Linked DNA regions of Saccharomyces cerevisiae S288C. The protein of the gene in region 1 purifies or fractionates together with the protein of each later gene. This does not show direct contact. Each region holds a gene or a part of one and is shown on either strand. Other genes may lie near its edges. The genes, in order: SNF5, ARP9 and VPS1.

Region 1 (5,147 bases):
GTGTACGTTTCTTAAAAAGTCTATCAAGAATATTAAAATGTCTTCCTATTTTTCCTATATGTCTGGCTGCTTGTTCCCTCAGCTGGTGTGGTACTAGTCTTTCTGTCGTACTATTTCCTCCACTGCTGCTTCCCTCGTCCTCTATGCTATCTTCCTCGTCAGACCCTATTTCCGTTTCCCCTTCTACGCCAGTTTGTGTGTCTCTAGTTCGTCCTGCGTTTCCGACATTTATGCCATCAGTAGATGAACCTGCATGAAGTGTATTCATTTCTTGCCCTATAAGTAGTTCTTGCTCTGGCATAGCGCTTAGTTTCCTAGACTACGTGTTCTTGTTATTCTCATGCTCTTTTTATGTATCTAAATTGGAAGATTTTTATAAAGGTTATGTACTATTCTTCTAAAAAAAGTAGGCGCAAAGGGACTCCGCATCGTATAACACGATGATAATACAAATTCTTCCACGGTTATTTACATCTCCGGTATATTTTATATATGTGTATATATTTTCTATGTATTCTGTGTGTTATTGTTACTGCTACCATTATTGCTATTAGTCAACAATGTCGCTTCGCTATCATGTGGTGCTACTGGAGGTGCTATAGGAAGACTAGGTGTAGGTACCGATTTACTAGCTGCCCCACCTGGGATTACTGGCTGCAGTGTGGGATTGGGTGAATTAGTAACAGTGTGATTGGCAATCGGGTTTGGGATTGAAGGTATCGTCACACCAGCGCGAATGTTACTATTCAGCTTAGTTTTCAGCGATTCTGGACTCGGAAGCATTGCATTGGTGCCACTACTTGTGTCATTGGGCGCTGCTGCGAACTCTTCTTTTGTATTAACTTTCCCAGGCAGTTTAATAGAAAGTAGTAGCGAATGACCCGGAATATGGTCAATAATATAACAAGGAGGTGAAACTGGCTTAGGTCTATCTGGCCTGCTTTTATAAGTGGTTGTGTTTCTCAATTCGTACGATTCCACAGAAGGGCCTACGTCAACACCACCAGGCATTAAAGTGCTAGGTACTGGAGTCCTGAAAGTTCTTGGAATATCTGCAATATCTGGCAGTAAAATCTCTCCTGGTGGCAACGATGAAGCATTTCCTGCTGCTACTGTGTTGTGAACGCCGTTCATAGATGTATTACTTGCAGATGTGCCGGACAATGCGAGCATACCACGTCTATTAGATCTACCTTGTCTTCTTTTCCTTCTTGTGTCTCTGTCCTTATCTTTATCCAATCTCTCTAACTCTGCAGCTGAAATCTGTAATAGGTTTGGAGTAAAAATTTTGCTTTCCGCTGCAGGCCTATAAACATCATCAAGAGTAATCGTTGGGAGCATTCTGCTTCTAATGTCATCATCTTCTATCGCTGATCCATCAAAATTGTAACCTAACAGTGCCAGTGATTTATGATACATATGAACTTGCTCTCTTATGGAGTGAGCAATGGCAGTCACAAACTCACCTGGTAGTTCTAATTCTTGACACATGGACTCTGCAAACTCTTCTGGACAGTTATCACTATTAGAGATGTCCCACTCAAATTGATCGATTAACTGGTTTTGTCCCACGACAATATCCAGCTTGATTCTAATTCTCAAGTCATCACCGCCTAGACGGTCCTGATTCAACTCTATATATGGATTTCCTTGAAACTCCTGAATCTGCTCTTGTATAGATTGACAAATAGTATCAATGTGTTGCTCTCTCGTAGCGTCCTCAAATCGGTAATCTCGCAACATGTCGTCCACAAAGTCTTCAATTTTAATAAGCTTGTCATTTTTGTTCCATAACAAAGTGTCCCTGAGGAAGAATCTGTCACGATCTTGATCGAACTCCAATCTTATGGGAACTAACTGTTCCGATGTCTCATTCATGGCCTGTTTATAGACTTTTAATTTATCCTCTAGGTAATGCTTCCTATTTCCAACTTCTACTTGTGGAATAACTCTGGTAGTTGTATTCGTAATCCCATTACCATACCCTGAGTAACCATTTCCCCAAATACTTGCCGAAGGAATCTTCTGAGAAGTGCTTGTGATAGATTTCATTCTAGTGTTCTTCAAATCTTGATAATACTTCAGTGTATGCCACAGTCTACTAATATACTCTTTATTACTAAATCCATAAATGCTAAACGGATCGTAACCATTGGTTTCTCTTATTAGCGAATATTTGTTAATTTTATCACGCTGGATAATTTGTTCGTACAACAAAGTATCCGTATCTGCTTTTTTGTCTGACCAATAGGTTGGATATGGTAGCTTGGTTTCTGGTGGATCGTATTGAATAGTTTGGTACTTGGGTAAGTTTAATTTTGGAAGTTGAGGAAGTTGGCCAATAGTTGGCTGAACATTGGTGGGAGGTTGTCCACTCATGGATCTAACTTGAGGAACTTGCTGAGATTGCGGTATTTGTCCTTGCTGCTGCTGCTGCTGCTGCTGCTGTTGTTGTTGTTGTTGCTGTTGTTGTTGCTGCTGCTGTTGCTGTTGCTGTTGCTGCTGTTGCTGTTGTTGTTGTTGTTGTTGCTGATGCTGCTGCTGCTGTTGTTGTTGCTTTTGTTGCTGCTGTTGTATTTGCACATGATGCCTAAACTGTTGTTGCTGTTGTCGCTGTATTTGGTTTCTAAGTTGCTGCTGCTGTTGCTGCTGAACCAGCAATTGCCTCTGCTGTTCTAGCTGAGTTTGTGCCGTTTGCTGTCCCTTTTGCTGCTCAATTTGGCGTTGCACTTGTTGTTGTGCAACAGTAATTGCATTCACAACCTGTGGATTATTTTTTGCTATGGCCTGCTGCCTCAACTTGTTCAAAACTTGTTGCTGTGTAGCCAAAGGTAACTGAGCAATTTGTGGAGGCAAATTAATAGGCGCTGGAGCTAAGGGCACTTGACCAATTTGGGGATGTAAGTTGTGTGGTGCTGGAGGAGGAGGAGGGGTAGAAGTCGCTGATTGATTAGCAATGGGTTGAGATTGTTGCGGAGGAGGGGGTGGAGATTGATGCGTTTGCGGTGGCGGTGAAGTTTGTTGTTGTTGTTGTTGTTGTTGTTGTAGACGACTCCTCAGTAACTGTTGGTGTCGTTGCTGAATCATCTGCAATTGTTGTGGTGTGAGGCTCTGATACAGCTGTTGCGGAATTTGCGCCATGTTAAAAGATGGAGTTCCAATGTTGCTAAATATATTTCCAATACTATTTGGAACGCTGTTGGTACCCTGCGGCTGATTATTCATTGTTGCTTTTGTGTAGTTCTTTACTATATGTTCCCTTGATGATGCTTTGTTTTGGTGTTTATGTTTGAAATTTCAGTTTCTTTTAAATGCGACGAAAAATGAAATTTTTGGTCAAAGAACAAGAAGAGATTTATTTAAAGTTGGCGATAACAGGACTTGGGCAACAACAGAGGCTGTAAACCTTACCAACCCAACCAAAATAGATGTATTTGTCATTCTATATCACTGATACAAAGAACAAACTTATTTTCCAGTATCTTTTAGGTGCAACAGCTCCCTCCTTCAAGCACCTGTGGACCCGCGTTCAGTCCACATGTCCTCAATTGCTCGAAGATAGCAGTAGTGATGATTATTTAGACCATTCAATGGTTGGAAGAGATTTAGAGGTCTATAAGTATTTCTCAGTTATAAATAAGCTCAATTATTGGTGCTTAGCCTCCACTTCGAAGTCAAAAGGCCCGCTTGATTGTTTTACCTTTTTAGAGACTATAGATCGTATCCTGTTAGAATATTTTGACAAGGATAAATTAAGTATCAAGAAAATTGTTAATAATTATGATAGAATCAGTTTGATTTTTAACTGTTGCGTCGAAGCGGGTGAACCAAATGTGAGTGATATGCTCTATGTTAATAAAATTAAAGAAGCTGTTCCTGAAAGATCGGATTTATCGAAGTTCATAAGTTCTACAGCCCATAATTTACAGCAGGCTGTGCAACTCCCACAACAAAGGCAACAGCAGCTACAACAAAATCAGATTTCTCGTGGTAGTAATTCACTAATCGAAAATGAAGAGATTGTTCCCTGGAGAACTTCAAGGGCTAGCAAACATGAGAATAATGAGCTTTATGTGGATTTGTTAGAAACATTCCATGTTGTATTTGAAAAGAAAAAATCACATCTAAGGTTGCTCACTGGAAGTATCCATGGAATAGTGGACGTGAGATCTTATTTGAATGATAATCCTCTAGTTGCAGTAAAATTAAACACTATGGGAAATGATATAGGTATACCCAGTTTGCATGACTGTGTTGAAATCAATGATGGTGTGTTTTCTCCCTCTAATATAACGTTTATACCACCAGATGGGAAGTTCAGATTGCTGGAGTATTCCGTCGATTTAAGTTCTCAAGTAAAGCAATCCGGAGTAAGGATGAATTCTATTGGCTTGATGTCTTTACACTTCCAAAATGGATTGGGTAAAGATTCTGATGAATTTGAGTTATCCTTAAATATTGAAAATTTCAAAAAAGTTTCACAAGTTGATGACCTAAAAATAGATTTACAGTTCAATGTTGAGAATGCTGATCCAAATGAAATAGCATATAAGATAAAAATATTGCGCAATACTCATGGCCGTTTTGAAAATAGCATTATCATGGGTCAAGGACAATGGATTTTTGATAAATCAACTGCCACTGGAACGGTACCTGTACTACGTGGCTGTATTGAGTATGAAAATACTGGGCCAAATTTTACAAAAAAAGTTGATTTACAAACAGTCTCCTTAGAATATTCTTACATAGGACAATCGGCCAGTGGAATCTATGTAGAAGCCATCGATATTGTATCTGGATTAACAATTGGCAAAAATACAAAGCTGTACAAGGGTGCAAAGTATAAGACCCAGACAGGCAATTTTCAAGTAAGGCTGTAGTTATATGTGTACTTGAAATTCCATGCGAAACTAAATAGAATATAATGAGAATATAAGTCTTGGAATAAAAAAGGAATATAAAACTATGCTAAAAAAAAAAAAAAATGAATAAGACTTTCATTCATGAAGACTCTATACAAAGGAATGAAAAGTTGTATTAAGTTGGGTTAGCCCACTGTAAAACGTAAATTGCACCTGAGACAACAATAATACTTACAGGCAAACTTAAGACAGCGTACCCCCAAAATAGAATATCGGCCATTTCTG
Region 2 (3,598 bases), on another chromosome or scaffold:
CACGGGTCTGTCATACTTATGTGCAAGGCCATGGTTCATCCTCAAGCTTTTCCCTCATGAACCAATAGAGGGCAAATCTACAAGATTGTACCGCTATTCGTATAATATCTTTAGGCCTTTTTATTATTCAAAGGAAGATGCGATTTGCATTATGTTTTGTGGCCCGGCTAAAACTGCAGCACTGGGTGTATCACTAATTACTTCACAATACGGCGATAAAAAAGAACACCTGGGTAAGTTGTTGGTTCCCTTGGTTTTATATCAAGTTGAGCAAGTCATGACGGCAAATTTCTTTGTAAGCTTGTTCAAAAGATGGATACAAAAGGACGCTCAAGCAGACGGAAGCGAGTCATCTTGTGCAAATGAGAATGAGGAAGTTGATTTGGAAAAGATCATATCAATTGGAACTGGTGAAAATCAATCCGTTCTGTCGAACAACGTCCCATATACACAACCAAGGTGATATTTCCCTTGTTAATTTTGCATGAATTCTATATATTACATAACGTTTATGTATATATTTCCCATCCTCATTGGATGGAAAAAACTAAACAGCACATATTCACACGGATTTTGGATACACGAAGCATCTATCACGTATTCTTAAAATTGCACGTCCCAAAGAGCAGCCGGTCCTTTCATATTATACTTTTCTCTTGTGATATAAAATGTATCTTTAGGATGAGTGAAAATTTGCTTAGAAACAATTTGGGCACCCAAGAATATAATCTCTGAATATCCACTTTTCTTCCACTCAGGAAAGTAATCTGGATATTTAGCCAGTTTGATTACTGTAGGACACTGTACGTATTCTATAGTTGGAACAAATGCGGTGCTATTTGTCATAAACTTGCTTTTCTTTTTTGTTGCAGCTGGTAATACGGATTTCGCTTCCTCTTCTCTTTTTGACTTCTCTTCCTCTGGCTCTATAATTAAATGGTCTTTCAGTAGTTGACCCAGTAAAGCTTCTTTAAAACCTGAAATTGAAGTAGTGCCACCGACGATGATAATATTTTCCCAAACGGCTTTAGCTTTGTTAATATCATCTATGTTATCTAACGTCAATCCTACACGATTAGAAATATTCTTAATCAGGTTATTACATCCTTGGAATCTTTGCTTACCAACTTTAATTTCGTTACCTTTTTCATCCCAAAAAGTATTGAATTCCAAGTCGCTATTTTTAACATTTTTGACTTTTTGACCACGTTCTCTTTCCTCTAAAACTTCACGTGTATCACGACCACTTGTAATAATCTCGGCAACGTTTAAAGTTCCTTCATCCTCGTCCTCATTTTCGTTTCCAAAATCGAAACTTGATAGTTTTTTGGCGTCGTCACTGAGCACCTCAAAAATTGGTGATTTTTTCAATGATTCTATCTGATCATCGTCCCATTGAGGTAGTAGTTTTTTTAGAGAATCATTAATAGACTGTCCGCCCATTGGTATTGAAGAGACAAGATGGTCTAATTGTGCATAGTCAACAATAGGAATAATATCTGTATGATGTGTTCCAACATCAATAATACAACAATTCTGCAACGAAATCATAGAATAAGTGGCCGCTAAGGAAGCCGGCAATTGGATTAGATTGTTTATCTCAAGACTTTCGAAGACATATTGAGTAATAATCTCTAGATCCGATTGCGACCAAGAGTGGTGCGTAATCAGTAGAAGAGGAATATTAGATAATTCAGCTTCAAAAGCATCTTGATTTTTATTAGCTCTATCAGACAAAATAGATACAAATATTAGTCTAAGAAATTGTGTAAAGGCGCTTATGTCTATTATTTCACCATTTTGGATTGGTTTGATTAATTCGGCTTTATTATCCTTGTTCGTTGAATGATATGTGTAGGAACCATCTTGTCTCGTGGTCCGATAAATCTGTGTTGGTATTTCCAGCTCAGGTACAGTGAATGTTTCTTCATTCAAACCAAATTGAACGAGAGTAGTTTGAGATCTGGGGTATATTATCTGTTATGAATTGTTGTTAGTATAAAAGATTAACCAAAAACTGTTCGTGAAGACTTAAAAAATCCATTGATGAACTAAATACGTACCAAAATACTGTCCTGCCTAAATGGAGCCATATTCAATGCATATAGTAGTTGTTCAAGACACTTAACTTCGCGTGGTACATTTTTTCTAATTCCGCAATATTGTCAGTTTACTATTAGAGATTTATAATGTTGAAATTTGCTTTTAGCCACTGCGCGGAAATATGTAGTATTCGTAACAAGTGACTCTAATGATATAAACACAGTAGAACTGTCATTAGAGCACATTAAATAATATGTATATCTTATTGCGTCCAAATGAACATAAAAGTGGAAAGGGAATGCCTGACCTAACAATTATCGTGATTATTGTGTCAAAAATGGTAAAGAAAACTTTTTTTTTTTTTGAAAATATGAAGGAAAGACGTGATATTTTATGATTTTTAGTTACAAATCCGGAGAGGTGTCCTTCTCCCACGGCAGCGTATATCTTTCTATTTCTACTTAACAAAAATCTGACATTATACTTTTTTTCTTTTATCAGAAAACTAGTAAAATTGATATACATCGAGATCAAAGACCTTGATGCAGTAGCTGAATGAAATTATAGGGAATTAATCCTATCCTATGATTTCTATCTATACGGTCATTATCATAAACTTCACCTTTATACCAATCTTTATTAACAATCTCAGTAATTAGCAGATAGTCGCCCTTATGGAAATTCGCTAATCCAGGTGCCTCATTTCCAATCAATGGATACATGGCCTTGGCATATTCAATGACTGGAAAACCTTCACTGGTGACAATAGGCAAGGTAACAGTAATACCTCTATCCCTGACCACACCTCTCTCATCCATGATGTTTCCTGTTTTTGTACCTGGTTTAGAACTACTTTGGATTCTTTCCATTTCGTACAAGGCATCTTCAATTGGATTACTTGAATCTTGCATTATCATGGATTGTCTATGCGTGTGCCCCCTAGACGTTCCTCTTACTGCCACAGGAGGTTTGAACAAAATTGTGCTTGTACTGGTATCTCTCCTCGTGTTATAATCATCTTCATTGAGGTTGTGCGCAGAGTTAGGCGTTCTTCCCCCATCATCCGACCTCGAAGAAGCGGATGAGGGTACTTGCAAATGGCTCATAGATTTTCTTTTCCTATTTGACGAGTTCCATGATTTGGCAAATCTCTGTGAGTCGTCTATACTATTGGCCATTGAACTTACGGATGTAGTCATAGATTCCATACTTTGTCTCTTTTTGATGTGGCTAAAATCCGTTGGATTAGAAGAACTTGATTCTGATGGTGAGCTGAGAGATTGATTTCTTTTATGCACCATTAGACCTTTTTCATCAGGATTTTTCGAATCTTCATCAGGTTTAAGTTGTTCTTCCCCAACAATCGGCCTTGGTTTATCAGGTTTCTGCCTTAACACGGAGTCATCCACATTGCTCTGTAACTGGACGGGTGAAGACCTCAAAGATAATGTTGGGTTAGCAACCACTTTTGTCTCATTACGTATGACGGGTGTGGAATTTCTAAATTGTGTAGCCATGGTGACTTCTGGAGATGGCAATGGTTTCTCATATTTGT
Region 3 (4,214 bases), on another chromosome or scaffold:
AAATTCTCGTAACATTCTTATTTTATACGTTCGGAAATCATGAACATTTATTTTTATGATTATGTAATTAAAAAAATATAATAAATTTATTTTGAAAATTAATTTTTTTAAAATTTTAAATATGTTTTTATCATGTGACTTATGAAAATGATATTTACGGTTCAAGAGAAAGATAAATGCAGAATCAATCAATACAATGAATAGTACCTTATTTAGTATTGGACCATTGAGGTATTAGGTATTAGTAGAAATATCCTAAACACTAGTATTGACAAAAGAATAATATTATATGCTATCAATTATCATTCCCATCCTCATGTTGACCTTCTTCATATTGGACAAAAGATACTAGGATCGTAATGCGAGATAGGAAATTCTTCAAAAGCATAATTTATAGACTAGCTTCCACGTATACAAGAACAATATATAAGATTTGCAGTAAATATTAGGGAGAAATACTCAAAACCAAGCTTGAGTCGACCGGTATAGATGAGGAAAACCTAAACAGAGGAGACGATTTGACTAGCGTTTCTCAATATCTCGACCATCTTCTTACATTCTTTTCTTCTTTGAATGGTTATGTCGTTTTCTTTCGTTAATTCTTCAATATCTTGCTTTCCGTAAAGTTTTTCGAGTAAAACTTTCTGAATATCAGTTTTACTTTTCACAATCAATTTAAGCATCAAAGCCTTTGGTATAATATCGGCAATGGTTCTTTTGACAATAGAGAAATAACTACTAATCAACAACTTGATTACTTCTGTTTCCATTGTTTCCCTCTCTGTCATTTGGCCAGTAGCTTTTAAAACAGGAGGTGGGGATTCCAAAGCTGCCAATTTCTTCTTGTTTTTAGTGGAGAAGAACCCACCAAAAAATCCTGATTTCTCTTCCATAACTGGCGCCTTACTAGACGATGGTTGGGTTGGTAATGGTTTACCCGTCTTTGGGTCAACAGCGACTTGGCGAGGATGTAATTTTTCTTCCACCATAACCATTGCTTGAGAACCCTTCAAAAGGTCGGGATGGGCTGTATTGATGTAAGTTTGTTCAGCTTTGATGATATCGACAACAAACTCATTCGTAGGAATAGTAGCATCCTTTAAGAACTGAATGAACTGATTAGAAATCGCTTCTCTTAGAGCAGGATACCTTGAGTACTTTGGTTGTGAAATAATCTGTTTTAGCATACGAACAAGTTCATCAAACACCAGAGTAACTAAACGTAGAGATGGTTCTTCAAATCTTCTAATTTGCTGTTTAACTAAAACTTCAAAAGCTTCGGTACCGACAAACAAAGATGGGGCAGAACCTGAACTATTGTACATAATGGTTCTGATATCAGAATCTTTGATCTGGTCGAATGGATCCAAAGAGTCTACACCATTTTTGAAAGTTTCATGGAATACGTAAGAAATTCTAGCACCACCAGAAAGTTCCTGACTGGAAAGCTCCTTCGCCTCACCGTCCAAGATACCGGCATATTCATTGGAAAAATCAGTAATCATGCTCAAAACAACCGAACTAGCTGAATCCATAGTTTCTGGGCCCAAGTTTATAAGTTCGTTTTGATATTTTTTCAATGTGGCTTCGATTTTCGCTTTGATTTCTGGCAGAGTTTGCCTAATGTGGTGTAATAAGATTGAGTTTAACTTTTTAGCCAAATATGGTGTACCACAGTAATGAGCTTTAGAACTGTAAGAGGGATGGTTCTCAAAAAATTTTCTTTCGTTTTCAAGGGCTTCTCTGATTGTTTTTTTGTGTTCAATATCCTTTTGACCTCTATTGATAACTGGGATATAACCATATCTCAAAGGAATGACTCTTCCAGCCAAAATATCTATGACATCTGTACCTTGATCCATCAAATCGACTTTTGTCAAGACACCAATAGTTCTCGTTCCTTCTGGATCGACCTCTCTAGCCAGCTTCAAACCATCGCTGTTGGCTAAATCGGTGTTAGCGGCATTAACAGATAATATGATAGCGTTTGGTTTCGAAATATACTTTAACAACATGTCCTTAATTTGTCTTTCAATATCAGGAGGTTGGTCACCTACGGGAACCTTCGTCAACCCAGGCAAATCCACTAACGTCAAAGTAAGAACATGCGGAGAATAAATTCTCAAGTTAATGGGCACAGAAGAAATACCTGAATTGGCACCTGTCACTTTGTCAGTTTCTTTGACGATTTCCTTTCTAATTTCGTCAAAATTATAAAACTTCTTACCAGGTAAATGCAAAAATTCACCCCATTCCTCTTTATTGTCTTCAGATTGTCCCTCGTTCTGGTGCTTTCCTGATTCATCCTTTTTCTTGTCATCATCGTTGATGTTCAAGTCAATCAATTCATTAGCAGTTTGGTTTACTTTAGCATGTTCTGACTTTTTTGGTCTCCTATTAATCAATTGTAACACTAAAGGTCTCCTGGTGACAATACCAGTACCTCTTGGCAAGAAATCCCTACCAACAATGTTCTCCAAAACGGACGACTTTCCTGACGACTGGGAACCGACAACAGTGATCTGTGGTAAATCAATAGGAGATTGAGATCCTCCTCCTAAGGGCGCCAAAGCGTCCTGAAGCTTGTTAATAGTAGAAATTAAATGCTCATCCATGATATCTGATAATATAAAATGTGCAGTTTTCGTACGGTCCTTATTTTGGTGCTATAAAAGGCCTCTCTAATTCTTTTTTAGGAGTAAATAGATGAATTATCTCGGTCTGTCTTGGAAGATATGTTGTTCTCTTGATGGCAAAGCGACGCGAATCAACGGCGCCCAAGTCTTTGGGTGACCCGGCCACTTAATAATGTTTGGGGAAGAAATCAATCCATTAGAACATTGGTTTTGGAAACTAGGCCAGTCCAAGCGCACAAGTGGTTTACCCTCGAGCATTTTTCGACTATTAGAGGATTCAAGTATCTATCGAATTCTCTGAAGCTATCATACTATCCTCTGGACGATATTAGAACGATTTTTCAAGTGAAACGTTTTAGCAAAAGTTTAAAGACACTAAACTAGCTAAATAATTTCACTGTGAGCAAGTCTTTAAACGGTCTTTTTTGAATCAAAAGAGGCCTAGAATTAGCAAAATATTTAACGCATAAACTTTTTTTAGACAAATAATGAGCTCTCAAAAGGTTTTTGGTATTACTGGACCTGTTTCCACCGTGGGCGCCACAGCAGCAGAAAATAAATTAAATGATAGTTTAATCCAAGAACTGAAAAAGGAAGGATCGTTCGAAACAGAGCAAGAAACTGCCAATAGGGTACAAGTGTTGAAAATATTGCAGGAATTGGCACAAAGATTTGTTTATGAAGTATCGAAGAAGAAAAATATGTCAGACGGGATGGCAAGGGATGCTGGTGGGAAGATTTTTACGTATGGGTCCTATAGACTAGGAGTCCATGGGCCTGGTAGTGATATCGATACTTTGGTAGTTGTTCCAAAACATGTAACTCGGGAAGATTTTTTTACGGTATTTGATTCACTACTGAGAGAGAGGAAGGAACTGGATGAAATTGCACCTGTACCTGATGCGTTTGTCCCGATTATCAAGATAAAGTTCAGTGGTATTTCTATCGATTTAATCTGTGCACGTCTAGACCAACCTCAAGTGCCTTTATCCTTGACTTTATCAGATAAAAATCTACTGCGAAATCTAGACGAGAAGGACTTGAGAGCTTTGAATGGTACCAGAGTAACAGATGAGATATTAGAACTGGTACCAAAGCCGAATGTTTTCAGAATCGCTTTAAGAGCTATTAAGCTATGGGCCCAAAGAAGGGCTGTTTATGCTAATATTTTTGGTTTTCCTGGTGGTGTGGCTTGGGCCATGCTAGTGGCTAGAATTTGTCAACTATACCCTAACGCCTGTAGCGCAGTTATATTGAACAGATTTTTCATCATTTTGTCGGAATGGAATTGGCCACAACCTGTTATCTTGAAACCAATTGAGGATGGCCCGTTACAAGTTCGTGTATGGAATCCAAAGATATATGCCCAAGACAGGTCTCATAGAATGCCCGTCATTACACCAGCTTATCCATCAATGTGTGCTACCCATAACATCACGGAATCTACTAAAAAAGTCATTTTACAGGAATTCGTAAGAGGCGTTCAAATTACGAATGATATTTTTTCCAATAAGAAGTCCTGGGCCAATTTATTCGAAAAAAACGATTTTTTCTTTCGATACAAGTTCTATTTAGAAA

The links.
Region 2: the proteins of SNF5 (region 1) and ARP9 purify together in Saccharomyces cerevisiae (affinity purification with mass spectrometry; 5 studies listed by BioGRID, with this or other methods). This does not show direct contact.
Region 3: the proteins of SNF5 (region 1) and VPS1 purify together in Saccharomyces cerevisiae (affinity purification with mass spectrometry, with the first as the bait; 2 studies listed by BioGRID). This does not show direct contact.

Annotation. Positions count from the first base shown.
Region 1 is NC_001134.8:777,745-782,891, reverse strand, and holds SNF5 (Snf5p), read right to left. Parts: upstream 3,226-5,147; coding exon 508-3,225; downstream 1-507. Other genes in the region: BSD2 (Bsd2p), read right to left, coding at 1-301; APM3 (Apm3p), read left to right, coding at 3,429-4,880; YBR287W (uncharacterized protein), read right to left, coding at 5,038-5,147. UniProt on the Saccharomyces cerevisiae protein: Involved in transcriptional activation. Component of the SWI/SNF complex, an ATP-dependent chromatin-remodeling complex, which is required for the positive and negative regulation of gene expression of a large number of genes.
Region 2 is NC_001145.3:336,283-339,880, reverse strand, and holds ARP9 (Arp9p), read right to left. Parts: upstream 2,094-3,598; coding exon 2,064-2,093; intron 1,978-2,063; coding exon 604-1,977; downstream 1-603. Other genes in the region: RCH1 (Rch1p), read left to right, coding at 1-463; YMR030W-A (uncharacterized protein), read right to left, coding at 2,278-2,568; formin-binding protein HOF1, read right to left, coding at 2,574-3,598.
Region 3 is NC_001143.9:440,108-444,321, forward strand, and holds VPS1 (dynamin-like GTPase VPS1), read right to left. Parts: upstream 2,616-4,214; coding exon 501-2,615; downstream 1-500. Other genes in the region: polynucleotide adenylyltransferase PAP1, read left to right, coding at 3,125-4,214.